4 linked regions of the Notamacropus eugenii genome follow. The protein of the gene in region 2 interacts with the protein of the main gene of each other region in a biochemical or structural test. Links are inferred from orthologs where the notes say so. Each region holds a gene or a part of one and is shown on either strand. Other genes may lie near its edges. The genes, in order: SUMO1, CREBBP, MAPK1 and RELA.

Region 1 (7,083 bases), on a different chromosome or scaffold from region 2:
AATAAATGGGAGAAACCATGAGAAAAACATAACCTAACAAAAGAGAAAATAGTCTGCTTTATTTTACATTCTGACTCCATAGTTCTTTCTCTGGATATGGATGGCATTTTGCATCATGAGTCCTTTGGAAATGTTTTAGGTCCTTGCCTTGCTGTGGAGGACTAAGTCTATCAAAAACAGTCCTTTATCAAAAACAGTCCTCATACACTGTGGCTGTTACTGTGTATAATGTTCTCCTGGTTCTGCTCACTTTACTGAGCATCAGTTCACAAAAATCTATCCAGGTATTTCTGAAGTTTGTCCATTCATCATTTCTTTTTTAAAAATTTAATTAATTTATTTGTTTTCAGTTTTCAACAATCACTTCCATAAGTCTTAAATTTTCTCCCCTTCCCTCTCCCCCTCCTCCCTGAGACGGCATGCAGTCTTATATGGGTTCTACACAAACATTCTTATTAAACACTTTTCACATTAGTTATGTTGCACAGAAGAATTAAAACAAATGGGAGAAACCATGAAAAACAAAACATAACACAAGAGAAAAGAGGCTCCTTCATTCTGTATTCTGATTCCATAGTTTTTTCTCTGGCTGTGGATGGCATTTTTGCCTCAGGAGTCTTTTGAGGATGTTTTAGGTCCTTGCATTGTTGTTTAGGCTTAAGGGTTTAAGGGCTTAGTTTATCAGAAACAGTCTTGTCACACTGTGGCTGTTACTGTGTATAATGTTCTGGTTCTGCTCATTTCACTCAGCATCAGTTCATATAAGTCTTTCCAGGTTTTTCTGAAGCTCAACTGTTCTTCATTTTTTATAGTGCAATAGTATTCCATTATATTCATATACCACAACTAGTTCAGCCATTCCCCAATTGATGGGCATTCCCTCGATTTTCAGGCCACCACAAAAAGAGCTGCTATAAATATTTTTGTACATGTGGGACCTTTCCTCATTTTTATGATCTCGGGATACAGACCTAGAAGTGATATTGCTGGGTCAAATGGTATGTACATTTTTGTAGCCCTTTGGGCATAGTTCCAAATTGCTCTTCAGAGTGGTTGAATCAGTTCACAGCTCCACCAACAATGAATTCGTGTTCCAACTCTCCCACATCTTCTCCAACATTTATCATCTTCCTATTTTGTCATATTTAGCCAATCTGATAGGTGTGATGTGGTACCTCAGAGTTGTTTTGATTCTCATCTCTTTAATCAATAGGGATTTAGAGCACTTTTCATATGACTATAGATAGCTTTAACTTCTTCCTCTGAAAACTGCCTGTTCATATCCTTTGACCATTTATCAGTTAGGAAATCACTTGTATTCTTGTAATTTGACTCAGTTCTCTATATATTTTAGAATTAAGGCCTTTACCTCAGACACTAGTTGTAAAAATTCTTTCCTAGTTGTCTGCTTCCCTGCTAATTTTGGTTGCATTGGGTTTGCTTGTGCAAAAACTTTTCAATTTAATGTAATCACAATTATCCATTTTGCACTTCATAATGTTCTCAGTCTCTTGTCATAAATTTCTCCATTCTCCATAAATCTGACAAATCTACTATCCCTTGTGTTCCTAATTTGTTTATAGTATCAGCCTTTATACCTAGATCATGTACCCATTTGAACTTTATTCTTGTACACGGTGTCAGGCATTGGTCTATGCCCAGTTTCTGCCACACTATTTTCTAGTTTTTCCGGCAGTTTTTGTCAAACAGTGAATTCTTATCCCAGAAGCTGGTGTCCCTGGGTTTATGAAACAGTAGACTGTGATAGTTATTGACTACTGTGTTACGTGTGCCCACCTATTCCACTGATCTACCTTTCTATTTCTTAGCCAGTACTAAGTGGTTTTGATGATTGCTGCTTTATAATACAATTTAAGATCTGGTATGTCTAGGCCACCTTCCCTAGCATTTCTTCTCATTAATTCCCTTGATATTCTGGACCTTTTATTCTTCCAGATGGATTGATATTATTTTTTCTAGATCTATAAAATAGTTTTTTGGTAGTTTGATTGGTATGGCACTGAATAAGTAAATTAATTTAGGTAGAATTGTCATTTTTATTATATTAGCTCAGCTTACCCAGGAGCCACTGATGTTTTTCCGATTGTTTAGATCTGACTTTATTTGTGTGAAGTGTTTTGTAATTGTGTTCATACAGTCGCAGGGTTTGTTTTGGCTGGTAGACTCTCAAATAAAAATTAAAAAAAAAATTTTATTTTCAGTTCCAAATTTTCTCCTTCCCTGCTATCCCTCCCTCACCAATCGAGAAGGCAACAAATGTGATACCTATTATACATATGAAGTCATACAAAACATTTCTACTGTTAGTCATGTTGTGTGTGGAGGGGGAGCAAGAAAAATTAAGAGGAAAAATATGCTTTAATCTGCAATGAATCCATTAGTTCTGTCTCTGAAGGTGGATAGCAGTTTTCATCATGAGTCCTTTGGTATTGTCATAGATCATTGCACTGAGCAGAGTAGCTAACTTTTACACAATTGATTATTGCTTTTAATTAATATCGTTATTGTGTACAACGGTCTTCTGATTCTGCTTATTTCCTTTTGTATCAGTTGATATGTTTCCTCTTCATAAAATAGTGTCTGAGGCCAGATTTGAGATGAGTTGTCCTGACTCTATCCACTGGGCCACCCAGCTGCCCTAGGCATGTTCTGTCAAATTAGAAAAATTTCCAATCCAAATCTAGGACTAGATAATGCTTTTATCAGAAGACCTACCTCACTAAGGTCCCAGAATGATGTCTCCTAGGTGGTGGATTTCCTCTCTTTCTCCAGAAATTTAGATCATCCTTTAAGAACTGTGATCAGAATGAATAGAGGAAATACTCACAGAGAGATGGTCCTAGGTCCTAAAATAGGATACCTTCACATCTTAATGAATTACTCCTTCCAGGATTATTCTTATTTTGAAAAGAAACTCTTGAAATGTCTCAACCCAACCCTTCCCACTCTTCCGTTTGGAGGAAGGAAAGCAGGAATAGAAGGGAATAGTCTTGTTGCAGTCTGTTCTCATCAGATCTCTCTGGGGATAATGTTTAGTGTTGGAATCACAATTTAATGTCATCGATAAGCTGGAATGGATTGAGATGAGGGCAACCAGTATAGTCAAGGATCATGAATCAATGTCATTTCAGGAGAGGAGCCTCGGGAAAACTCGGGGGGCCCTAAGTACAAAGAAAGGCACCCCACGCACCCCCTGCAAAGGGCATAACCAGGAAGTAAATCTGGACTTGCCAGGAAAAACTCCTCATCGTTAGTGCTACCCAAAAGTGGAATGGGCCACCTTGCCTCTGACGGTCTTCACGCCGAGGCGCTGCCAGGTGCACGGGATGGACCAGATGGCCCTAACCCTCGACCTGCGTGACTCTGAAAGTAGTCTTCCTAACCCGTTCAAAGCTGCTCCTCGGAGGCTCACAGGTGGGGCCGGGGCCTTCTTAGAGAGAAGGAAGGAGCCCCGGCTGGAGACCTGGAGCTCAGAGGCGTTCAAGGTCATCCGGTCCAGGCCTTTCCTTTCATGAAACAAGGAAACTGAGTCCCAGGAAAGGCACGCATGCCTTCCCCAGGCCAGCAACCCCTGCATTTGAACCCGGGGCTCTCGGCCAGCCGAGCGAGCTGGGCTCTGGGCTCCGATCCCAGCACCGGGCGCCATCTCCAGACGTGGTGCCTTTTCCCCGCCAGTGTCCCGTGCCAGCCTTTGCGGATGGCGCTCGAGGCCGGCCTAGCGCCCGGTCTCCGAGCTCCCCTCCGCTCTGCCCCGTACAGCGCGTCTGTGTGTCTCGTTTGCACACGGCGTTAGGCTGAGCGCGCCGAGGGGCGAGGCTGCCTGCGCCGCCTTTGTACACCCTCTCCACTCCCAGCGCCACGCCTGGCGCGTAGCAGGCCCCGGGACGTGCCCGCAGACGGGCCCCCTCGGACGAGCCCCTGCGCTTCTCTGGGCCTCGGCTTCCCCACGTGTAACGGAAGGGAGAGGCGCGGAGCTAGGTCTACAGTCCCACAATGCGGATCTCATCACCCTGCCCCAACGGGCGGCGGGCCGTGGCCTCTCGGGTCAGGGCTCGATGCAGCCGTCCGGCCCGAGCCGCAGGCAAGGACCCGGGCCGCGGCGATCGGGCCCAGCGTGACCTCACCCGGGCCACCCCGCGGGGTCGGTTCGATACACTCCCCCCACACCAAGCCCCTCTTCCCGCTTCTCCCGCCGCCCCCTCTAACTCTTCGCTCCTTTTCTGGGCGGGGAACGGAAGTGACGTCAGGCGCATCGGAAGTCTCTGCCGCCGCGGTGTTGTGCTGTGGGGAAGAGAGGGACAGCTTTAGAAACCCGGGAGAGTGATTCTCGCCCTTCCGAGGCCGGTATCGCGCCGAAACCCCCGGAGAGAAGCAGCCGTCGCCATGTCTGACCAGGTAGGAAGCTTAGGGCAGCGGCTTGACGGGCAGTCGGACGCGGGGCCTGCGATCTCGCGGCCCCTCCGGGCCCGCGGCCGGACCGGGAATGGGGGCGGGGAGGAGAGGGCACAGGAGACAGGGGAGGGGGCGGCGGGCGCGGGGCCGGCGGCCAGCCAGGGTCGGCGTCTGGCACCCGAACGTCCGGGGCCCGGCCTCGCGAAGCCGGAGCCTCCTCGCCCCCTGCGAGAAGTCCGTGCACTTCCCCGTGACCCGGGGCGCCCGAGGCACGTCGGGTCGCCGGCCCCGCGGACCGGGTGTCAGCCAGCCCCGGAGCCGTGCCCATCGCCCTGGCTCAGGCCCCCGGGGAGCGTCCGGGCCCCGCAGAACCCAATCGCGCCTGACGGCGGCCGCGGGCGCCTAGGCCCCGGTTATATAACGGGAGAGGGAGCTCGCCGCGGCGGCCGGCAGGGCCTCGGGGGGTCGGGGGGGGCGGCCTGAGCGCGGATTCCCCTTCGGATGCCGGGGACGCGGCGGCGGCGGGGGCTGCCAGGTCGCCCGGAGCCCGGCAGCGCCGGCTGCAGCCTGGCGCCTGGGCCCGCGACAGGGCCGGGCCCCCGCGTCCGCGCCGAGCTCGGGCTTTTTCTCTCCGGATCCTTTTTCCGGTGGATGGGGTGGATGGGGTGGATGGGGGTGGCGGCGGCTCCCCTTGTTCCGTGAACTTTTCCTGTTTGTACTTCGGAGTGGTTCGGCGTTTCCGCGGACTGGGAGCCCCGGCTCGCCCCCCGCAGCCCTTTCCTAGGCATGGGCCTAGCGATGACTGCTGTTTGCGGCCGCCCCGGAGTAAAACAAAAGGACCGGACCCGAGGAGCTTCCCGCGGCTTTCCCCAGCTCCCACAGTCAGGATGCCCGGGCCAGTGTGTGTGGGCTCGGGGTCCGAGCGGAATCTTTGCGGGGGAGCCTTGCCACCCTTGCCTTGTGTTTGGGGCTGGTTTACAGTGCACTTGGTGAGGTCCGGAGTACTCGATTGATTAATGTCAAATGGAGAAATCGAGAGTCAGGTTGCTTGGATGAAAGAAAACCCTAAGATTTTTCTTTCATTTCAAAACACTGCGGCAGGGTTGGAATTTTAAATTTGGCAAACTTATCCACGTGTCTGTTTATTTGTCAGTTCTGTGCAGCATTGCTTGAGGGGAAATCCATCGGATTTTAGGAAATCGAGACATTTGGAAACATTTTTGTTATAAAAAGCAAGCCGCTATTTAGGTTAGCTCTGGGTGGTACTCAGCACTTTAATAGGCATCTGAATACCATTATAACGTATCTCATTAAATTGTTTATTCAGTTACTAGTTAGAGAATATATGTAAAATATGTTAGCAGTCTTTTGTTTGACATTTAAACATGGGAAATGTGTCAAATTTCTTATGTAGAAGTATTTTTGGGGGATGAATGAAGGAAGCAGACAAGCATTTATTAAGCACCTGCTATGTGCCAGGGGATTTACAAGATTTATGATACTCACAACAACCCTGGGAGGTAAATGCCGTCGTTATCTCTCATTTTACCGTGGAGGAAACTGAACTAAGGCAGACAGGTTAAGTCTCTTGGCCAGGATTACCGAGCTGATAAAAAGTCCTAAGGCCAGTTTCAGTTCAGGTTTTCTGGTTCTAGGTGCAGTGCTTTGTGTGCTGCGACACCTTGCAGCCTCAGAATAGAAAAGAATTGAGAAAATAAAAATTACCGTATCTTATCCAGAATAAAGTAGGCAAGTGTTATGAAATATAGGTAATTCCTTAGAAGCTAGGAGGTAAATTAGTAGTTTGAGATTAGAAATTTGAATTGTCTTCATCAGATAACATTTATTAAAAGACGAAAGATCTGATTTTAAAAAAGTTGAAATACCCTCAGGATTTAAAATCAAGAGCAGGAGCCCTAAAGTTTTCTAGTACAGTACCATTCAGTTTGTAGAATATCGTGCACAGTATCTGTTCAGAAATTCTACATTAAGTCCTGTTGGAAAGGCATATTTTTTAGGAACCTTTCAGTTATTATCAGTCATAATAGGAAAACTAAGGAATAGTTCTTACATTTCTACCTTTAAAATCAGAAAAGTTAAACTTTTTTTTAGTAAATAGTATTTTATTTTTTCCAAGTCCGTGTAAAGATAGTATTCAACATTCATTTTTATAAAGTTTTGAGTTCCAAATTTTTCTCCCTCCCTCTTTCTTTTCCTTTACCCCCTCCCCAAGACTGCAAGCAATCTGATATAGGTTATACATGTGCAGTCATGGCAACATTTCCATATTAGTCATGTTGTGAAAGAAGAAACAGAACAAAAAGGAAAAGCCACAAAAAACAGCAAAGTGAAAATGTGCTTCATTCTGCATTTAGACTCCATATTTCTTTCTCTGAATGTGGGTAGCATTTTCTGTCATGAGTCTTTTGGAATGTCTTGGATCTATTTTATGTTACTGAGAAGAGCTAAGTCAATCATAGTTGATCATCACATGGTATTACTGTTACTGTGTACAATGTCCTGGTTCTGATCACTTCACTCAGCATCAATTCATGTAAGATTTTCCAGGTTTTTCTGAAATCTGCCTGCTCATCATTTCTTGTAACACAATAGTATTCCATTATATTCACATACCACAACTCATTCAGCCATTGCCCAGTGGATGGGCAT
Region 2 (6,890 bases):
CCTCACATCCTCACTGGACACTAAGTGATACTTAGGTTTGAATGTTCTTTCCATGAATCAATCAATGAGTCAACAAATGATTTTTGAGTACTTACTGGTCCCAGGCACTTTGCAAAACCTCTTCTTTCTCAGCTTCTATTGACTTCTTGACCCATTTCAATGAATGAATGAAAAAAAAATTATCAAGTACTTACTATCCTTACTATCGGTCAGACACTGGCTATGCAAATATAAGTGAGACAAACCTTGTCCTCGGAGAACTTATATTCCAAGAGGTTAGTAAGACAACAAAGAAGGGGAGGTAGAATTGGAAAGTGGAGGTGGCAGGTATGAGCACAGTGGTATGATTTGGAAATGGCCAAGAAATATCATGATGGCCCACTTTCCAGGACAAATAAGTAAAATTTCATCACTTATCTGATAGGTCTATCATAGTGTACCACTTGAGGGAAAATGTTCTTTCCAAAGCCACCATGGATTTATTTCTAAATCCAGTGGCTTTTTCTCAGTCCTCATACTGTCAACCACTTTCTCCTTCTCCCTGTACTCTCCTCCCTAGGTTTTTGTGATCCTGCTCTATCATCAGTCTCTTCCAATATTTGATTGCTCCTACTTAGTCTCCTTTGTCAGTGAATAAAGCATTGATTAAGCACCTACAAACTAAGTGCTAGGCACAGTGCTAAGCACAGAGGGTACAAAGAAATGCAAAAGACAATCCTGGCCCTCAAGGTGCTCACAGTCTAATGAGGGGGAAACAACAAGCAAACAAATTTGTACAAACAGGTATACACATGATAAACAGGAAATAATCAACAGAGAGGAGGAACTAAAGAGGGATTGGGAAACACTTCCAAAGGTAGGATTACCTAGGACTTGAAGGAAGCCAGGAAAAGAAGATGAGGTTCCTGATCTATCTCCCACCCTGCAAGCCTGGGTACACCCTAGTACATAGTAAGCAGTTAGTAAAAGTTTGTTGACTGACTCACTGATTCCCACAAACATATTAAACCCAACATGTCCAAAACTGAATTGCTTAACTTCCTCCTTTCCTCTCAGTTTCTCTGTTGATGGCATTACCATCCTTCTAGTTACCTAGTTTTTTCTCTGATTTCTTCTCTCTTACTACCCCTTACCCTACCATATCCAAACATTTACCAAGCCTTGTTTATTTTTCCTTTATAAAATACCTCCACCATCTCTTATCTCTTTCTTTCCTGTTTACCATAACTACTCTATTTCAGGCCTTCACTGATATTCCTAAAACTTTGATTTGCTTAAGAAGCTCCAGTGGCTAACCTATTTCCTCTAGGAGAGAGAATACAAACTTCTTTGTTTGGCATTTCAGTGCTACACATCTGGCTCTAGTCAACCTTTCCAAGGTGATTTCACATGACTCTGCACCCTCACTTCTAGGCCAACTGGCCAACTTGCTAGTTCCTCCTATGAGATATCCCATCTTCTGTCTCAGTCTGTGAGCAGGCTACGTTTCATACCTGGAAAGCTCTTCTTCTTTACGTGTGCCTCTTGGATACCCTGGTATCCTTCAAAACTCAAGTGTTACTTTCTAACTTTAAAAGACCTTTCCTGATTGCCCCAGTTGTTAATGTCACTTTCCCATCACTTTGTATCTATTTCATGTATCCTTCTCTGTGGACAAGTTGTATCTCTCCAGTGGATTTATAAATTCCTTGAGGATAAGAACTGTGTTACTCTTGTCTTTCTATCCCCAGCACCATCACCGTGCCTGGCACATAGTAATCACTTAACAAATGTTCGTTAAATTGAACTTTTGCTTGTGCAGCAGCCTCCTGGAGAGCGAAAAGTATCATGTACTTGAGCCATAAATCCAGGAGAAAAGCAGGGGAGGCTTCTTCTCACAAGGCTGGGAGAGAACATTGACAGGGTAGAGCAACTGACCTAAACTTGGCCCTCCTCTATTATCATAAATTAGGCCTAGTGGATAGGGAGGGAGCCCAGTGTGGTGGATTGAGAGCCAATTTGAGCTTAACTTGGGTTCAGGTACAACCAGTGACATTTACTGTTACTGTCTGTAACTCTGGAAAGTCACTTACTATCTGAGTACCGCAGGCACCCTTAAGTTACAGATGAGATCTGCATTTGCTGGAGATTTGTGAGAGTTTCCAACATGGATAAAACACTAGGCCCCAGCCCCTCCTCAACCTCCCCTCCCCTGCCCCTCTCCCCAGATATTCGGAAGCGAAATATGCTGCAATTTCAAACTTAGAGGGTTTGGGGAACAGCCCTGATTGGAGGAAAGTTGGCTCCCTGGGAAGATATGGAAGGAAGGTGTGATATAAGAAAACCGTCTGCACGGCAGATGGCCAGAAAAGCCAGACAGGCTGCGGCTACCTGTCCTGCAATTCACCTATACTCCCCAATCCTAAAATCCAAGGGTATTTTTCCTTTCCGCTCCCTTGACAACTTTCTCCGAACAAAAGTCCCCACAGACCACGGGCAGGTCACGACTCAGCCCTTCCTGGTCCACGCCACCGAAGAAAAGAAACAACCCGAACCCTACCAAACTCAGCAAAACTGGCGGGGAGAGGAGGTTGCGAAAGCGTTCCGGGCGGCCCCCGGGGCCGGCCGCGGTAGTGACCAAGGCTTGGCCCGGGTCACACACGCAGCGCGAGCATGAACACTTTCATAGACCGGCCCAGGGCTGCCCGCCGCCCCCCTGGGGTCCCACTTAGGGACCTACAGCGAAAGCGGAGGAAAAGCGATCTCGCAAACGCCCACGGCCCTTCACGTCCCTCCTTCGGCCCACGGGCGGCGCTGTCCGCCACAACACGGCAGCGCTACGCACTCCAGCCCGGTCGCTCGGCCCTTTCCGCCTGGGCGCGTTCGTATCTTTCCGGCCGCTCCCGGGTGCAGGTGGAGGGGGGCGGGGCGGGGGCCGTGCGTGGTGACGCTGCGGGGGGGGTGGCGGTGGTGGTGACGCATAAGCGTGCCCCGCCCCCTCCCCCTCCCGTTCAGGCTCTGGAAAAGAGAAGAAAAAAAACTTTCTTTTTTTTTTTAATTGAGGAATCAACAGCCGCCATCTTGTCGCGGACCCGATCGGGGCTTCGAGCGCGATCCACTCGGCCCCGCCGGTTCCGGGCCCCACAACCGCCCGCGCACCCCACTCCGCCCGCCCGGCCCGCTCCGCCCGGCCCTCGGCGCCAGCTCCGGCGGCCCCGCACGGCTCTCGGCTCGGCTTCCCGGAGCCGCGGCGGCGGCGGCGGCGGCGGAACGGGGGTGGGGGGGGCAGCAGCGGCGGCGGCGGCGGCGGCGGCGGAGGCTCCGCTTCGCGCATTGTTTTTCCTCAAGGCGGCGGCGGCGGCGGCTCCGGCTCCTCAAACCGAGTAGGGGAGCGAACCCCGAAGCCCCCCTCCCACCGGGCGGGGAGAGAATTAATTAATTAAGTGGGGCGAGAAGGGGGGGAGGGAGGAGGACGAAGAGGAGGAGGAGGAGGAGGAGGAGGAGGCAGGCGGGCGGGAGGCACCATGTTCCCCGGGACTGACTGAGCCGCCCCGGCCGGGCACCGTCGCTGCCAGCTGGGCCCCGGGGGGGCAGCTGGGCCGCCTCGGCCCCCCCCTCCTTGGAGTGTCGCGCTCGGGAGGGCGGGGGGGAGTCCCGGGCCGCCGCCGCCGCGGCGGGGAGGGGATGAGGGAGCCGCGGCCGGTAGCAGCAGCAGCAGCGGCGGCAGCGGCCGCGGCCGGGGGCGGGCGGTGAGCGCTGCGGGGCGCTGTTGCTGTGGCTGTGATTTCTCCGCCGGCCCCCCACCTCACTGGCCTCCCTCCCCCCCTCCGGCCCCCCATCTCACACTCACTCACACACGCTCGGACAGCCCCCCCCCTCCCGCTCCCTCTCGGTGCCGGCCCGGCCGGGGCAGCTCTCCGAACCCTCCCCAACCCCCCGCTCCGGATTGTCTCCTGATTGCCCCGGACCCTTCGCAGCTCCTACCCCCACCCGCGGGGCTGTTTTCGAGAGCCGGCTAAAATGGCTGAGAACTTGCTGGACGGACCGCCCAACCCCAAACGAGCCAAACTCAACTCGCCTGGGTTCTCAGCCAGTGACAATACAGGTGAGGACCGGGGGCCTTTTGGGGGTGGGAGGGCAGGAAGATGGTTGAAAACATAAAGGGTTGGAGTGCCGGGGAAGGGGACCGAAGTGAATCTGATCGAAGCCAAGTGTCCTGGGAGCCTCAGAGGATCGAGATGTAACGTAGCTTTCAGGGGAACTGGGAGAAGGCCCAGCCCGCAGTGAGGGTTAGTAGGCTTAGTGTCCGCGGACCCTGTTTTGAATTACCTGTCACTTTCCACTCCAAAGGTGAGTAGACATTTCAGATCACAGATGAACGGGGGAGGGGGCTTTCTTCCTGGAAAGGCTTTGGGATCGTAGCTAGATGAATGGGATGTTAGCGATGGCCGAGGTGGTGGGTTCCGAAGAGAAGTGATCCTCTTTTTATCTAGTTAGGCATTGCAAAGGGATTCCACGTAAAATTGTTCCCATCTCCCCACTAAACCTTCCCTCACCCTCCGTCTCCCCTTACCTTGATCACATAAATTCTTCCAAGTTTGAAGGAAGGGAGTTAAGTGCGATTGGAAGGCAGTGGAAAAAGATACTCCGATTCAGATTGATTTGCTAGGCTGGGGTGCAACCTTGCACGAGTCTCTCGATGCTAAATGACTTTTCCAAGGAGGAAAAAAAAAAAGTAAGGTGCCGTGTGTTTGTTTTGTGTAGTGATATCAGATGAGTGTATCTGCTGCGGAGTGTTGAAACGTGTGTGTGTGTGTGTGTGTGTGTGTCAGGACTGCATCTTGGTAAGGGAAAGAAACATCCAGGCTGAAAGATTGGTGACTAGAAATATTTTCTGAATCTCCAAGACAGCGACAACATCAATCATAGTTTTTAACTGATAGTGATAACACTTTTAAGTATTGAAATCCAGAAACTTTTTATGTGGTGCAATCTATAATGATAACTTAATCTTTCAAAATTCAAGCTTGTTTCTGGATATAATATTAAGTTACTTTGGAAACTCTATCCCCTCAAATCTTTCCACTCTCCTAAACCTGAAACTTTAATAGTAATATTTCATAAAAGTTACTATGTATTTAATTTTATATTTCTAACAGGGATAGTTTTAAATGGATGTAAGCCAAGTGTCCCATTAAAAATTAAGCTCCTCCTTTGACTAAACTTAATTTAGGTTATTTTAAAAACAAAGTGGTCATCTGCTTTTAAAACTTAAAAATTCTTAGAATTTGATAGAAAAATTCATTGTGATTCAGAATATCTCTTATTGTAAAACCATGCTTATATTCATTAGGACAACTTCTTTGAAGGCTTCTTTAGATAATAACATCTGCAGACTTTTTTTTCATGTCACTAATTTTTGTGTTTTTTTTTAAATGCTCATTACCTTATTCCCTATTACAGCTTTGAGAACTCTTCATATTTCCTCTTTTTGAATATCTTTCTTTGTACTGTAAAAATTCGTCTTGTAGTTACTAGTTTAAGGACATTCTTTCTCAAATGAAACCTTTTCATCTCTGGTGGTAACATCTGAAAATCACTTTATAATGAATGAATCTAAATTGACTTATGTTGCTGCTGCAATGCCTGTAGATGTGCACTCTGAAATGAAACAGTGAAAACACTTGTATCTGACGTAACACAAGAAAACAACTGCATACTTTGCAACAGAAACTTTAGCTTGGCTTTGTTTTTAAATAGTGTCCCATCTTCCAGCCAGTTTTTTTTAATGGCATGTAACATTTGCTATTACTAGTATTGAAAAATGACAAATACTCTTTTGTACAGGTTCTTGAACGGTTAAATGAAAAACATAAACCAATGGGAGAAATGGCACTAGTAAAAATTTAACAAATTTTTAGTTGATTAACTTGGAGTTTATTTTTGATCCTAAATCTTAATTTTTTTTGTGTTTTTTCCTAAGAAATATGAAAACCATAATTTAATCATTTCTTTTCAGCAAAGCACAGTGTAGGTGACTTTGAAATTGTTTGATGAACTTTCTTAAGATAGAATCTTTACCCCTTTTCCTTTTAATTTTGGCATATGAATATGAATTCTTTAAGTAGAAAACAAAGGACCTCAACTTTAGAAATTTGTGCTCTCAAACTGAGTAACCTTAATAGCAGATTTTTGCTTTGGTAGTAGTAGTAGTACTTTAGTTTGTTTTAGACTTTTGTTATATAAAGGGACATAAACTAGTTATACAGCTGCCATAAAGAGTTTTTCAGAAATAGACACCCCAACTATTTCCCGCTACATACTGCTAATCCCAGCAAAGTTCCTTAGGAAAAGGTTTTCACTTTTGTCAATTTTTCTTTCTTTTTATGCCCAACTCTAGGAACAATTGAGGGAGATTTTCTGGTTTCTGAGGATGAAAAACGAAAAATCAAAACTCTTAATAAATAATTATATTACTAGGTAATGCAGATAACCCAAATTTAACTCCACAGACAAACGTCATTCTCATCCTTACTTTAAACCTTAGTCAACATCATTAATATTTGTATGGGGTCCTTTGTAAGGTATTATTATAAAGTAACTTAAACAGCCTTGCTGTTCAGTAGCTAATAATTTGAGACAGTTCATAATGATATGGATAAAGATGTTAGGGATATATATTAAACAGATAAACAACTGTTTAATACATGAAATACACCAGCAAAAGGATGAATGTGTTTTCTGAGATAGGGAAGTGAAGTAATTTCTAGAGAATATGGAATTGGAGAAAATCACTATCCTTACAATTGGAGAAAGCATCTGGTAGAAGTCCCAGGGAGAAATTGGAACTAACTTGGAGTTAGGAGTGTTTAATAAGCTTCATGTGTAGTTTCAGAGATTGAAAGTTTGGA
Region 3 (7,182 bases), on a different chromosome or scaffold from region 2:
CTCAATCAACATTTCTGAGAAGCCTACTCTGCACAGGTCACTGGGCAACCTGCTAGAGTTAACACACTCTGTTCCCTCAGCTGATCACAGGGTTAGGGAGGTGGTCACCGGGAAGTCCAGACTTCCCCACTGAGTCAATCAATCAATCAATCACCCAGCCCCAACCAGTGTAACTAACCAGATGCTTTAGCCAGCATACCTTTACCAGCTGAGAGCACCTCTAATTATGGTACAGAATAAATCAATTAAAGGTATAAACTAGGCATGGGAGAAACCTTTAATCATTCAGAAATGCCAAGCACTGGAAGAAGTGAAATGAGATGAATAGTATTCAGGATATGTATTGGAATTGGCTGGAGAGCATCGGTCCTGCCCTGTGGGGCTCAGATACAAACAGCCTGCCAGCTGGAGCCTGGGCTTCCTTCCACTGGCTGGCCAGCCTTGTGCTGGGACAGTTCCAGTCAAGCTCCTGAGAGACTTCTCCCTCAGAAGGAGGGAAGCAGGGGAGGAAAGAGGGATGGAAGAAAGGAGTGAAAGAGGGAGATAGAAGAGGGAGGGAGGGAGACAGGGGAGAAGGAAGGAAGTCAGGGGAGGAGGGAGAGAGAAGAGAGGCTCTGTCTCTGCCCCACACTTGACCAGAGGACAGCCTCATGAGCCTTCCCGTGAGCACCAGTTGCAGGCCCCTGTAACACATGCCTCAGTAGCACAAAAAAAAAAGAAAGTCCTCAGCTCTGGACTCTGATATTCATCCATAACAGTCAGATGTCCTCTAAGGTTTGCAAAGCACTTTACAGATACTGGCACAACAATCCTGAGAGGGAGGTGCTATTATTATCCCCATTTTACAGATGAGGAAATCAGGGAGGTCTGATGTAAAGTGATTTGCTCAGGGTCACCCAGGATAGGGAGTATTTGAGGCCAGGTTTGAACTCAGGTCTAAATGACTCTGGGGCAGCTAGTTAGTGCAGTGAGTAGTATATTGGAGTCAGGAAGGCTCATCTTCCTGAGTTCAAATCTGGCCTCAGACACTTCCTAGTTGGGTGACCCTGGGCAAATCATTTCACCCTATTTGCCTCAGTTTCCTCATCTGTAAAATGACCTGAAGAAGGAAATAGAAAACACTCCAGTGTGTTTGCCAAGAAAACCCCAGATGGGGTCATGAAGAGCCAGACCTGACTAAAACATAGCTTAACAACTTACTGACTTCAGGTCAGGTGCTCTACCCATCATACCACCTAGCTGCCTTGGGGGTCCCCACCCTTACGAACTGCAAGAGTACTCCTCAAAGGGAGAAAAAGAATCCCGGAATGCAGGCCCTGAGTTGCTTGGCTACATGCTCCCTAAGCCCAGTATCCTATAGTTCTTGGGGGATAGTGTATCCCAGGCTCCGTGTGCATGTGCATGTTTGTGTGTGACTTAGTTGTACTCTGGTCCTCTCTATGCCTTAATATCCTTTTGTAAAAGCTAACCAATGTTAATTAAGGCTGAGGCAATGCCAGCCGGTTCAATGATATTGGGAATCACACCAGAGCAGTAAGGCTAGAACCCGGAGGACAGATGTCACTGCCCTCTTGGGGGACCCAGCTTGACTGTGAGAATGAGACAGGAAGATGAGGAAAGCAGCTTAGATTGAGGGTTCCAGATCATTTCACCGATGAAGGGCCTAGGCTCAGGGAGGTGAAGGGACAGGTCCTAGAGGTGAGGAGCATTAGAGGTGGAATATGAATCCGGGTCCTCTGACCTTCCTTTCATCCTGGACCATCCTGCCTCCCACAGCAAAGGAGAGCAGATCTGTTCCCTCCCTTGCCTCTCTGAACGCCTCCGAGAACGCATCAGCCTTCTTTGGCTGCCACAAGCCATTGCTGACTCATATGGAGCCTGCAGCTTCTTGAATGTTTTTTCATATCTAGTTCCATCTCGTTCATTCTGAGTTCATCGCAGTTGTGTTTTTGGAAGTGAGAGCACAGCATTGATCCAGTAATCACTAGTCTGAATAGTTTTTCAATTAGTCATGAATTCATCTAACTGTATACTTGTATGTGCTACATCTTGGCACCTGGAGTCTTACAAGTTTTCTTGCTGAAATCCATCCATTGTGTATTGACAGCCTTGCAGCCAGTAAACTAGCAAAGAAGGAATTTTATGTAGTCTGGAATCCTTTGTTCTGGCTCCTCTTTCCAGGGGTTCACACATTATGTTTGAGAATATATTCTGGAATTTTGATGGGCATCTATATCCAGTACTTCAGTCTCTATTTTCCAGAACTGTGTTCTTCTTTTCAATCAGTCATCAATCAAGCCACATTTATTAAGCACCTACCATGTGCCAGGCCCTGTGCTAAGGGCGGGTGATACAAAAAGAGGGAGGTTTTCAAGAACTATGATGCTGTTTCTGACTCTCTGAGCAGTGTCTGCTCAGTTTACTAACAGCAGCCTCAAAATCAGATATGCAAAATGGGTCCAACCAGATTAGATTTTGTGATGTACCGTTTGCACGCTCTGCTTGCAAAAACAGAGGCTGAACCAGGGTGGATGGTGTTGGCTTAGATCTGGCTGGCTGTGGTTTCGAAGCGTGTGGTACGTGTGACGGAGAGACAGACGAACTTGCAGCAGAAGCCGTGGAGTGGGGATTAAGGTGCCTGGCATTTCTCAGCATGTGTTGAGCAGCTCTGTGTGTGGAGGGTGCCTATAAGATGGGGGTGCCTCCGAAGGGTGTGTAGGAGGAATAGATGTGGGAAGAGTGGAGGTGCCTTTGGGGAGATGTGCCTGGAGGGGATAGCTGGGTAGCTGAATGTGTGTGGTAATTGCCGAGTGGGTGTGAGATCTGAGTGGGTTGTGATGGTATGTACAGGAAGAGGGGATCCTTGGAAGTATGTGTGGGGTCTGGGCATCTGAGGGCGTCTCTAGTAGGGTGGGTAGGGGCTTTGAGCCTGCACAGGAGCATACCTTTCTACATGTATATGAGCTCCAAGTGTTTTGCCCTATGAGAGGGTCCTCCATTTGGAGTTGGAAGGGACTCTGCCCTCCTTTCTTTTACAGATGAGTCTACAGAGGTGAAAAATACTACATTTAACTGGCTACACAAGTGGCAGAATTGTAATTTGATCCCAGGTCCTCTGACTCCAAAGCCAATGTTCTTTCCACTAACACTGCAGGCAAAGACACCTCTTTCAACCTCAGTTTTCTCATCTGAAAAACAGGGCTAATAACAGCACCTTCCTTCCAAGATTGTGGTAAGGATCAAATGAGATAAAACTTGCTAAGTGCGTTGCAAACCTTCCATGAAGCAGCTAGGCTATGCAGTGGATAGACTGCTGGTCCTGAGTTCAAACCCCGCCTCTGACACTCACTAGCAGCGGACACCAGACTAGTCACATAACCTCTGCCTGCCTCAGTTTCTTCAACTGTAAAAGGGGCCTAATTTCGGCACCTAGGTGGCAGGGTTGTTGTCAGGATCCCACGAGACCGCTGTAAAGTGCAGGGCCTACGTGCCAGGACGCAGCCTGCTTTGCAAGGGTAGGCACCGGAAGGACGGGGTGCCTGAGTGACCTGGGCACACCGCTGAGCTCCCCGCCTGAGGGGCGCGGGCTCCCAGGCTGCTTGCCTCTCCGATTCTCGGGGCGGGTGTCGGGGGGCTGAGCCTGCACCTCTGACTACGCTGCCAGGGCACTTTCGGGAAGGGGTTGAGGGGGTGCGCGTGGGATCTAGGAGGGCTCGAGGGCAGCGGGGTGAGCGCTGACCATCCAGCTCCCACCGTGCGAGTGCCGAGCCTGGTGCGGGGGCACCGGGAGGCTCGGGGCGTGGGCGTGGGACCCCCCCCCCCCCTCCCAGGGGAGGGCATGCTCGGGCATCTCGGGGCCTGCCAGGCCCGGGCGGAGGCGCGCGTGCCGGGGCACATCTGCCCCGCGTGCCCCGGGGCTGCTCCCCTGGGGCGGCTTCTGCATTCTCTGCACCCCCGCAGCGGAGCGCAGAGCCCAGCACACAGTGGGTCCTCCGGCAGGGGGGCGCCGCGCCGCACCACGCCACGGGGAGAGGCGCTGAGCTGGGATTCGGGCCGCAGGCCCGTGCGGCGCATGCGCGGCTTCCCGTGTCTGGGGCGGGGTGCAGGGCGGGTATGTGGCGGGCGTGCGCCGGGGCGCGCCTGCGGGGGGCGCTGGCGCGCGGTTGCGTGTGGGCGGGCGGCGGCGCCTCTCGGCGCATGCGTACTCCGGTTCGCTCGCTTTCCGTCGGCAGGGGGTGCGTGGGTGCGGCGGCCGCCTCCCCGGACGGAGGTCCTCTTTTCGGTCTCCTCCCTTTCGCTCCCCCTCGGACGCCCCCGCAGCTCCCCGCGGCCCCTCTCCTCGTCTCGGTCTACATCTTCTCCTTCCTCCTCCCCGCCTCCCCCGGCCTGCGGCGTGTGCGCCTGCGCGCACCCCTCCCCTCCGCTCCCTTTGCACGTGACCGCGAAGCCTCGGCCGCCCCTCCCCCTCCCGGCGGCCGGTCCTTCCGCATCGGCGCGCGCTCGCCGCAGGCCCCGCCCCTCGCCGCGCGCCCGCCCTCGGCCCCCAGGCAGTCGGGCAGTCGGGCCGTCAGTCGGTCGGGGCGGCAGCAGCGGGCGGCGGCCGGAGGCAGCAGGCGGCAGCGCTCGGGGGGCCGCGGCAGCTCCCGGCGGCTCGGCGGTGGGCGCCCCTCCTCGCGTGCTCGCCCTCTCTTCCTCCTCCTTCTCCCTCGGCGGGCGGCGGCGGCGGCGGCGGCCATCATGGCGGCGGCGGCGGGAGGCGGCGGCGCGGGGCCCGAGATGGTCCGCGGGCAGGTGTTCGACGTGGGCCCGCGCTACACCAACCTGTCCTACATCGGCGAGGGCGCCTACGGCATGGTGTGGTGAGTGCGGGGCGGCCGGCCGCGCCTGGTGCGTGCCCGGTTACCGGGTGGGGGGGCCAAGATGGCCGGGGCGGGCTGCGCTGCGGCTCCAGGGCCGGCCCGGCCTCTGCTCGGGGCTGGGGGGCCAGGCCCGGGCGGTAACAGTAACAGTAACAGTGGCGGTAACAGTAACAGTAACAGTAACAGCGACAGCCTCGCTACAGTATCCATTGTACAGATGCGCACACGGAGGCCGGCCGGGCGTGCTGAAGGTCACCCGGGGCCGGAGGGGCGCCCAGCTCTCCCAGGGGACTTTCCCCAATTCTGTGGAGCCCCCGGTGACCCCCAGCATTCCAGGCTATGGCGCTGACAGAAGCATAGCCCGTGCACATCGCCCCCAGGGCCCCAAAGGAGGACCTTGGCTCTTCCTGGCGATCCTGGCGGGCGCTTAGGGCAGGTACCACCACTTGTTAACAAATGACCAGATCTGAGACCCGGCGGAGTTGGCATGGGAGCTCCTGATCCTTTCTTCCTGGTTCTAAGGCACCCTTCCCAGGGTGCCATCTTGTTCCCTTTAGCATCAGAGGTAGAGTTGCCTTCCCTCTTTCTTCATATTTACATCCGGCAATATCCCAATTTTAATCAACGGGCTGTGATCCCAGATCTTACATTTTGGCCAGTCAGATGGGTTTCTTCATTTGAGGCCATCAGACTGCTTAAAAGCTCTATTGTGTGACCTAGTATTGGCCTCCTCTTGTCAAATCATAAGCTTCTTAAAAGTGGGAACAATTTCCCTTTTTTCCTCTTTACATCCCCACCAAATTATTTCGTTGCATACAGTAGGTGTCTAAAGTTTGTTGAACTGACTCTAGTGAACATGGTGTTTAGCTTTATTGTTTCGTGGCCTTTTATTGGTTTGAGACTTGAACAGTTGTGCATTGTGCTTTAAAAAAAACTGTTTAATGATTAATAGAATCACAGAAAGTATGGATGGGAAATTGTTCAGGTGTTCAGTTTCAGACTTTTTTCTGCCCCTGATGGTCTAACCCCTAGATGGTTCCTTTGGATTCACTTGAATTTTTGTTGTCAACCTAGACATGCTGGTTTGATGTCCTAATAAGATATGGAGACCATATGGCAGCATCTAGCAAAGAGTCAAGATAGAGGGCAAACTTTTTATTAAAGTGTATTTTTCAGTGATTCAAAAGGAAATTATTTTTGTTTTCTTACCCTGTTCATGTCTTTTACCCATGTATTGCCCAGTAATGTCTTTTTTTATCTGGAGTAGAATTCAGACTTTTAATAGTACTTTTCTGAGCATCATGGCTCTGTCTTGCCATATATTCCCCAAAGTGAGTGAGAGTCCAGCCAGGGTGGTCCTTTATTGCTTGATCTGAGAATGAACCAAGCAAGATGGATTCTCTTGTTCTCTCTCTCTCTCCCTCTCCCTCCCCCTCTCTCTCCTTCTCTCTCTCTCATTCTCTCTCCCTCCCCCCTTCTCCATCCATCCATCATCCCTCCTTCCCTCTCTTCTTTCCCTCCTCTTCACTCTGCCTCCACCTCCTCCCTCTCTCTTTTTCTCTCTCACCTTTGCTGTTTCTTTGCTTTCCAGCTAGTAGGCCTACTCCTGGTGGTTATTCTAGGTGCTACTCGATTTTTCAAGATTGCTTTTGTCTGCCCTCTCCCACAATGTCTTTTCTGTCCCTTCATGAAACTACATTAGCTCAATATACTGTGTTGTGACCTATGTTCTCTTTGCTTCTTTTTTTTAAAAAATTGTCCTCCATTGCTGTGGAGGCAGCACAAAGCTGACCCCACAGGAATGATTTTGTTTTGGGAACCAGTCAAACTTAGAACACTTAATGATATATGTGATTGCTACTGGACCTGTGTAATTAGGCAGAAGTTATAAGCAGTACTTAGAAGTGACTGAGATTGTTTTATTTTTGGAAGGGAAATATGGACTCTGATAGCGATACATCATTCAGCATGGTTTCTCTAGTTCTAGAATAGAAAATTCATACTTGTTATGTTGTGATACATCCAGTCCTTTATTCTTCATTGTCAACACTAAGCATATTGAGATTTGAAAGTATTCTTTAGGTTCTTCTTTGGAGTGGAAGGACTTGTCAGCTACTGGAATTTTAAAAAGTTTTATTTATGCTTTACTAGTAAAACTAGTTTTTCTCTTTGCTCTTGGAATTTTCTGGTATTTAGCACCACTGTTGGTAGTTTTCTGTAGTACCATATACAGTTTAATCTTGAACCCATATGTTGATAATAAAGAACCAGGATCCAGCTGCCCAGCCCCCAGGCTTCCTTGTGTTCCCATCTCCTTCTACCT
Region 4 (6,877 bases), on a different chromosome or scaffold from region 2:
TGTTGGTAGAGCAAGAAAAGGGATTAATGGCCTGTGGCCTTTGACTCAATGATCTAATTACTGAAACTCCACAAAAAAGCTAAAGATAGAAATGGCAACAGGTCGTGCAAAAACCAAAATATTCATAGCAGCTCTATAGCTTTCACAGAGTAGAGGCTCATCAATTAGATATGGGTTAAAAAAATGACACATTACTATACAGTAAGAAATAAACAAAAAAATTCAGAGAAAAATGGGAAGATTTGTGTGAACAGATGCAGAATGAAACAAGCAAAGCCAAGAAAACAAGAGATCGCCTGAAGCAAGCCAAGGCCACAGTAACTGAGCAACTAATGAGGGGCCAGCAACAGAGGAGTGGGGGGATGCGGACACAAAGGAAGGAAGAAAGGGAAATGACAGTGACATCGAAACAAGCAGCAGCACAAAAAGCATTTGAAAAGGATCCTGAAGCACTGGTGTAGAGCTGGCCAGCAAGAGGGAGAAGCCAGGGAGTGAGGCAGGGAGGCATGGGCAGGGTGGGGTGGGGCTGCTGGGGGCCCTGGTCATGCTGGCCTAGGAGCCTCTCACCATTGAAGGGGTTGTTGTTGGTCTGCATTCGATGGGCAATGGCCTGCTCCAGATCTCGCTTCTTCACACACTGAATCCCCAGGTTCTGGAAGCTAACACCTCACACCTGTCAGCCTGCCTGGCACCCCAGGCCCAGTCCAGCCCTTGGCCATCCTCTCTGATCCTCTGCCCCACCCGAAGCTCGGTGCCTCATTTCTACTGCTCTGTCCTCCCTACCTTGTGGGGTCCTTCTGGTTCCCCCTCCCCACGTAGGAGAACCCCTGCCCTCGCCCTGCCCTGACTCCCTCGCACCTGCTGAGCCTCCTCACCTATGGATGCAGTGGTCAGGGCAGAGTTCAGCCTCATAGAAGCCATCTCGACAATCCTTCCCCACCAACTCATGAGGGTGAGGTCGGTGAGGGGGCTCCTTGGTCACCAGGGAGATTCGCACAGTTCCTGGTCCTGTGTAGCCAATGACCTGGGAAAGGAATGGAGGCTGAGCCACTCCCACCTTCGGAGAAGATCAGTGAGGGGTCCCAAACCCATCAAAGGGCCTCTGTCCCTCTGGGAGCCTGCCACCTCCTGCCCTCTGCTGGAGGCGGAGGGTGTGCTCACTCCCAGTCCCGGCACCCCTGCAGTGGGGGGTTCTGAGCACACCCCTGAGCCCCGAGCCCCCTGCAGTGGGGGGCTCTGAGCACATCCCCTAGCCCTGAGCCCCCTGCAGTGGGGGGCTCTGAGCACACCCCCGAGCCCCGAGCCCCCTGCAGTGGGGGGATCTGAGCACACCCCCGAGCCCCGAGCCCCCTGCAGTGGGGGGGGTCTGCCCCCGAGCCCCGAGCCCCCTGCAGTGGGGGGCTCTGAGCACACCCCTGAGCCCCGAGCCCCCTGCAGTGGGGGGTTCTGAGCACACCCCCGAGCCCGGAGCCCCCTGCAGTGGGGGGCTCTGAGCACCCCCCCAGCCCCGAGCCCCTGCAGTGGGGGGCTCTGAGCACCCCCCGAGCCCGGAGCCCCCTGCAGTGGGGGGATCTGAGCACACCCCCGAGCCCCGAGCCCCCTGCAGTGGGGGGGGTCTGCCCCCAAGCCCCGAGCCCCCTGCAGTGGGGGGCTCTGAGCACACCCCCGAGCCCCGAGCCCCCTGCAGTGGGGGGCTCTGAGCACACCCCTGAGCCCCGAGCCCCCTGCAGTGGGGGGTTCTGAGCACACCCCCGAGCCCGGAGCCCCCTGCAGTGGGGGGCTCTGAGCACCCCCCCGAGCCCCGAGCCCCTGCAGTGGGGGGCTCTGAGCACCCCCCGAGCCCCGAGCCCCTGCAGTGGGGGGATCTGAGCACACCCCCGAGCCCCCTGCAGTGGGGGGCTCTGAGCACACTCCCGAGCCTGGAGCCCCCTGCAGTGGGGGGCTCTGAGCACACTCCCGAGCCTGGAGCCCCCTGCAGTGGGGGGCTCTGAGCACACCCCCGAGCCCCTGGCAGTGGGGGGCTCTGAGCACACCCCCGAGCCCCGAGCCCCCTGCAGTGGGGGGGGTCTGCCCCCGAGCCCCGAGCCCCCTGCAGTGGGGGGCTCTGAGCACACCCCCGAGCCCCGAGCCCCTGCAGTGGGGGGCTCTGAGCACCCCCGGCCCCTGCAGTGGGGGGCTCTGAGCACACCCCCGAGCCCCGAGCCCCTGCAGTGGGGGGCTCTGAGCACACCCCCGAGCCCCGAGCCCCTGCAGTGGGGGGCTCTGAGCACACCCCCGAGCCCCGAGCCCCCTGCAGTGGGGGGCTCTGAGCACACCCCCGAGCCCCGAGCCCCCTGCAGTGGGGGGCTCTGAGCACGCCCCCGAGCCCCGAGCCCCTGCAGTGGGGGGCTCTGAGCACCCCCGGCCCCCCGGCCCCCGGGGCTCACCTTGATGGTGGGGTGCGTCTTGGTGGTGTCCGTGCTGCGCTCCCCGGGGATGCTGCCCGCCGAGCGGCCCTCGCACTTGTAGCGGAAGCGCATCCCCCGCTGCTTGGGCTGCTCGATGATCTCCACGAAGGGGCCCCGGGCCGGGGGCGAATCTGGGGGGGCGGAGGGGGGCGCGCACACCGCGGGCTCAGGACCCCCAGCCGCCGGACCCCGGGCCTCCCCCCGCCCCTCCCGGCCCCCCCCGCCCCGCCCCCACTTACCGGAAGCGAAGATCATGGGTAACAGGTCTGAAAAGGGGAGGGGGCGCGAGGGAAATCGAGTCAGGCGCCGCCCTCCGCCTCCCCCCCACGCCCCGCCCCGGCAGGGGGGCGGCCGCACGGACCTCCGGCCGGCCCGCCCGGGCCCCACCCGGCCCTCCCCCTCCCCCGGTCAGAGGTCAGGCTCACCCTCCATGGCCAGGGTCCTGGGGGCGGGGCCGGGGTCGCAGCTGGAGCCCCCGCGGCGCGCGCCCTACGCCCGAGCCATTCGCCAGAGGCGGAAATGCGCCGCGCGCGCTCGCGGCGTCACTGCTCGGAATGCGGGGCCGCGCCTGCGCACCAGGGCCTCCCGGGCCGCGCGCGCCCTGCGCGCTCCCGCTAGCGGGGCGGGGCGGCCCGAGTGCGCAGGTGCGGGGAGGTGGCCGCCGAGCAGGGCTAGGCCCGAGGGCAGGGAGGCGTCGGACCCAGACCGGCCCCTCCGCGCTCCGTTTGGCGTCTCCGTTCAGCTCCCCAAATCGCCTTTCCCAAACGTTCCGGCCGAGGACCTGGCCACCACCCAAGGCGGGGTGGGCGGGGCGGACAGGGAGCTGCCCTGATTGGCGGAGCGTGAGACGCCGCTGCGTGCTTGCGTCACGCGTCTTCCAGAAGCACGTGGTCCCAGGACGCTCCGGGAGGGGCGAGAGGAGGGGTGGGCGGAGCCGGAGTGTAGGGGAAGCCCGAGTTTATGAAGCACCTACTGTGTACTGTGGAACGAGGGGGAGGCGCCTTGGGGGGCGCGAGCAGAGCAGAGGGTCGAGGCCCCTCCCTAGTGCCGGCGAGAGAGTCCGATGTCCGAGCGCCAATGAGGAAACTCCCTCCCTCGTCCGCCAGTGTAGGCCTGGCACCCGCCTCTCCGATCAGACCTTGGCCAGCTCGCTTCTAGCTACTGTCCTGTTTCTCTAATGCCCTTTGTGGCTAAAGCCCAGGGAAAGGCTGTCTACACCAGATGCCACCACTGACTCTCCTGGAAAAGGCCGTCTACACTAGGCGCCTCCACTGTCTCCCCTGGGAAAGGCTGTCTACACCAGATGCCCCCACTGACTCTCCTGGGAAAGGCCATCTACACTAGGCGCCTCCACTGACTCCCCTGGGAAAACCTGTCTACACCAGATGCCCCCACTGACTCTCCTGGGAAAGGCCGTCTACACTAGGCGCCTCCACTGACTCCCCTGGGAAAGGCTGTCTACACCAGATGCCACCACTGACTCTCCTGGGAAAGGCCGTCTACACTAGGCGCCTCCACTGTCTCCCCTGGGAAAGGCTGTCTACACCAGATGCCACCACTGACTCTCCTGGGAAAGGCCGTCTACACTAGGCGCCTCCACTGTCTCCCCTGGGAAAGGCTGTCTACACCAGATGCCCCCACTGACTCTCCTGGGAAAGGCCGTCTACACTAGGCGCCTCCACTGACTCCCCTGGGAAAACCTGTCTACACTAGATGCCCCCACTGACTCTCCTGGGAAAGGCCGTCTACACTAGGCGCCTCCACTGACTCCCCTGGGACAGGCTGTCTACACTAGATGCCCCCACTGACTCTCCTGGGAAAGGCCATCTACACTAGGCGCCTCCACTGACTCCCCTGGGACAGGCTGTCTACACTAGATGCCCCCACTGACTCTCCTGGGAAAGGCCATCTACACTAGGCGCCTCCACTGACTCCCCTGGGACAGGCTGTCTACACCAGATGCCCCCACTGACTCTCCTGGGAAAGGCCATCTACACTAGGCGCCTCCACTGACTCCCCTGGGAAAGGCTGTCTACACCAGATGCCCCCACTGACTCTCCTGGGAAAGGCCGTCTACACTAGGCGCCTCCACTGTCTCCCCTGGGAAAGGCTGTCTACACTAGATGCTCCCACTGACTCTCCTGGGAAAGGCCGTCTACACTAGGCGCCTCCACTGTCTCCCCTGGGAAAGGCTGTCTACACTAGATGCCCCCACTGACTCTCCTGGGAAAGGCCGTCTACACTAGGCGCCTCCACTGTCTCCCCTGGGAAAGGCCGTCTACACTAGGTGCCTCCACTGACTCCCCTGGGAAAGGCTGTCTACACTAGGCGCCTCCACTGACTCCCCTGGGAAAGGCTGTCTACACCAGATGCCCCCACTGACTCTCCTGGGAAAGGCCGTCTACACCAGGCGCCTCCACTGTCTCCCCTGGGAAAGGCCGTCTACACTAGGCACCTCCACTGACTCCCCTGGGAAAACCTGTCTACACCAGATGCCCCCACTGACTCTCCTGGGAAAGGCTGTCTACACTAGGCGCCTCCACTGACTCCCCTGGGAAAACCTGTCTACACCAGATGCCCCCACTGACTCTCCTGGGAAAGGCCATCTACACTAGTTACCTCCCTCCTCTCTCAACCCCCTTACAGTCGATCCAGCTTTTGCCTTTATCATTCCACAAAAACTTCTCCCTTAAGTTACTAATTATCTCCTTAGTGGCCACATCCAGTGGCCTCTGCTCCACACTCATTCTCCTTGACCTCTCTGGAGCCATAATCACTCTCTCCTCCTTGGTCCTCTCTTACCTCTAGGTTCTTGGGACCCCCACCCCTTTCTCCTCCTACTTCTTTGACAACTTGTTCTCTGTCTCTGTTGTGAGATCCTCCTCCATATCCCGTGCTCCAACCTTAGGTATCCCACAGGGTTTTAAATCAACATATGCCCAAACTAAACTCATCCTCCTCTCCCCACCCCACCTTCCCTATGCCATGGTCCTCTTGGAGAGGGAAGGACAAGCAACCACAGTGACCACCTTCCTTGTTAGTGCAGAGGGCAAAAACATGCTCCCAGCCCCAGTCATGGATTCCTCATTCTTTTTCACACACACAACCCATATCCAATATGATGCCAATTTTACCTTTGTAATCTCTCTCCAATACACCCTTTTCACTCTGATGCCACCACCTTCCTGGGGCAGACTCTCATCACCTCACACCTGGACTATTGCAATGGCTGCTCAGAGAGGTGCAGAGGGTGTCTGCCTGCCTCTAATCTTTTTCCACTCCACTCCAACTGCTAAAGGGATTTTCCTAAAACCTAGTCTCACCATGTCACTCCCTACTCAGTAAACTCCAGTAGCTCTCTGTTGCCAGGAGGATCAAATACAAAATGCTGTGTGTGTGTTGGTCCTTCGTTGCCAAAGAAGACCATACCATCAGAGAAATGATGACATGACTTGCACTTGACTTTGTTTTGAATGAAGGAGGGCTGTGCAGGTCACCAGCCTCACTTTTCCTCCAGAGCCATCTGAATCCAATAACCAGATATTCATCAGGATGATTGGAGATGACCCAGGATGAGGCAATTGGGGTTAAGGGACTTGCCCAAGGTCACACAGCTAGTGAGTGTCAAGTGTCTGAGGTGAGATTTGAACTCAGGTCCTCCTGACTCCTGCACTGCTGTTCTATCCACTGCACCACCTAGCTGCCCCAACAAAAATGCTGTATTTGGTATTCAAAGTCCTTCATAGCCCTTTCCAGCCTTCTTACACCTTACTCCCCAATGTGTACTCTTCTCTGCAGTGACATTGGTTCCCAGAGCGGTACCCCATCTCTTGGATCCAGTCACTCCTTCTAGCTGCCTCCCATGCTTGGAACGTTCTCTCTCTCTGTTTTCTGGCTTCTTTTAGGTGCCAACTAAAATCCCACCTTTTACCAGAAGCCTTCTCCCCCCTTAATTCTGGTGCCTTCCTTCTGCAGTTGTGTATAGAGCTTGTTTGTATGTGTTTGCACGTTATCTTCCATATTAAATTGTGAGCTCCTTGAGATCAGGAACTGTCTTTCATCTCTTTTTTGTATCCCCAGTGCTTAGCCACAATCAGTGCCTGGCACATAAATGTTTATTTACTTACTGATGTCCTATCAAAACATTTGTGGTAGCCATCTACGCCATCTATGCCATAGCAGCTGCCTAGGCTATCTAGACAAACATTCTAGTGTCTTTACAAGGGTGATGAATTCCTGATAGGGGAGAGTGAACACAGTTTCTTTTCTTAGGTCTCAGGGGTCAAGTAATTGTAGGTTTTAGAGACAGCAGCTACGTCCAGAGTGACTGTAGCCCTTAGCAGAATTTATCAGTCATCAGTCCTGGCTGATTAAGGCTTGTTAGAAATAGCAGCTGACACAACACCAGAGGGCAGAGATTAGTAGGACAG

What was found.
Region 1: the proteins of CREBBP (region 2) and SUMO1 form a complex in vitro, tested with the Homo sapiens proteins (2 studies listed by BioGRID, with this or other methods). The link is inferred for Notamacropus eugenii from reciprocal best matches to the Homo sapiens genes CREBBP and SUMO1.
Region 3: of the proteins of CREBBP (region 2) and MAPK1, one has a biochemical effect on the other in vitro, tested with the Homo sapiens proteins (2 studies listed by BioGRID). The link is inferred for Notamacropus eugenii from reciprocal best matches to the Homo sapiens genes CREBBP and MAPK1.
Region 4: the proteins of CREBBP (region 2) and RELA form a complex in vitro, tested with the Homo sapiens proteins (9 studies listed by BioGRID and IntAct). The link is inferred for Notamacropus eugenii from reciprocal best matches to the Homo sapiens genes CREBBP and RELA.

What each region holds. Positions count from the first base shown.
Region 1 is NC_092877.1:298,546,340-298,553,422, reverse strand, and holds the start of SUMO1 (small ubiquitin-related modifier 1), read left to right. Parts: upstream 1-4,060; 5' UTR 4,061-4,404; coding exon 4,405-4,416; intron 4,417-7,083. UniProt on the Homo sapiens protein: Ubiquitin-like protein that can be covalently attached to proteins as a monomer or a lysine-linked polymer.
Region 2 is NC_092872.1:58,235,444-58,242,333, reverse strand, and holds the start of CREBBP (CREB-binding protein), read left to right. Parts: upstream 1-3,884; 5' UTR 3,885-3,999; coding exon 4,000-4,084; intron 4,085-6,890. UniProt on the Homo sapiens protein: Acetylates histones, giving a specific tag for transcriptional activation. Mediates acetylation of histone H3 at 'Lys-18' and 'Lys-27' (H3K18ac and H3K27ac, respectively).
Region 3 is NC_092875.1:8,407,026-8,414,207, reverse strand, and holds the start of MAPK1 (mitogen-activated protein kinase 1), read left to right. Parts: upstream 1-4,177; 5' UTR 4,178-4,197; coding exon 4,198-4,859; intron 4,860-7,182. UniProt on the Homo sapiens protein: Serine/threonine kinase which acts as an essential component of the MAP kinase signal transduction pathway. MAPK1/ERK2 and MAPK3/ERK1 are the 2 MAPKs which play an important role in the MAPK/ERK cascade.
Region 4 is NC_092873.1:18,442,419-18,449,295, forward strand, and holds the start of RELA (transcription factor p65), read right to left. Parts: upstream 3,025-6,877; 5' UTR 2,880-3,024; coding exon 2,873-2,879; intron 2,714-2,872; coding exon 2,687-2,713; intron 2,579-2,686; coding exon 2,427-2,578; intron 1,025-2,426; coding exon 876-1,024; intron 660-875; coding exon 568-659; intron 1-567. UniProt on the Homo sapiens protein: NF-kappa-B is a pleiotropic transcription factor present in almost all cell types and is the endpoint of a series of signal transduction events that are initiated by a vast array of stimuli related to many biological processes such as inflammation, immunity, differentiation, cell growth, tumorigenesis and apoptosis.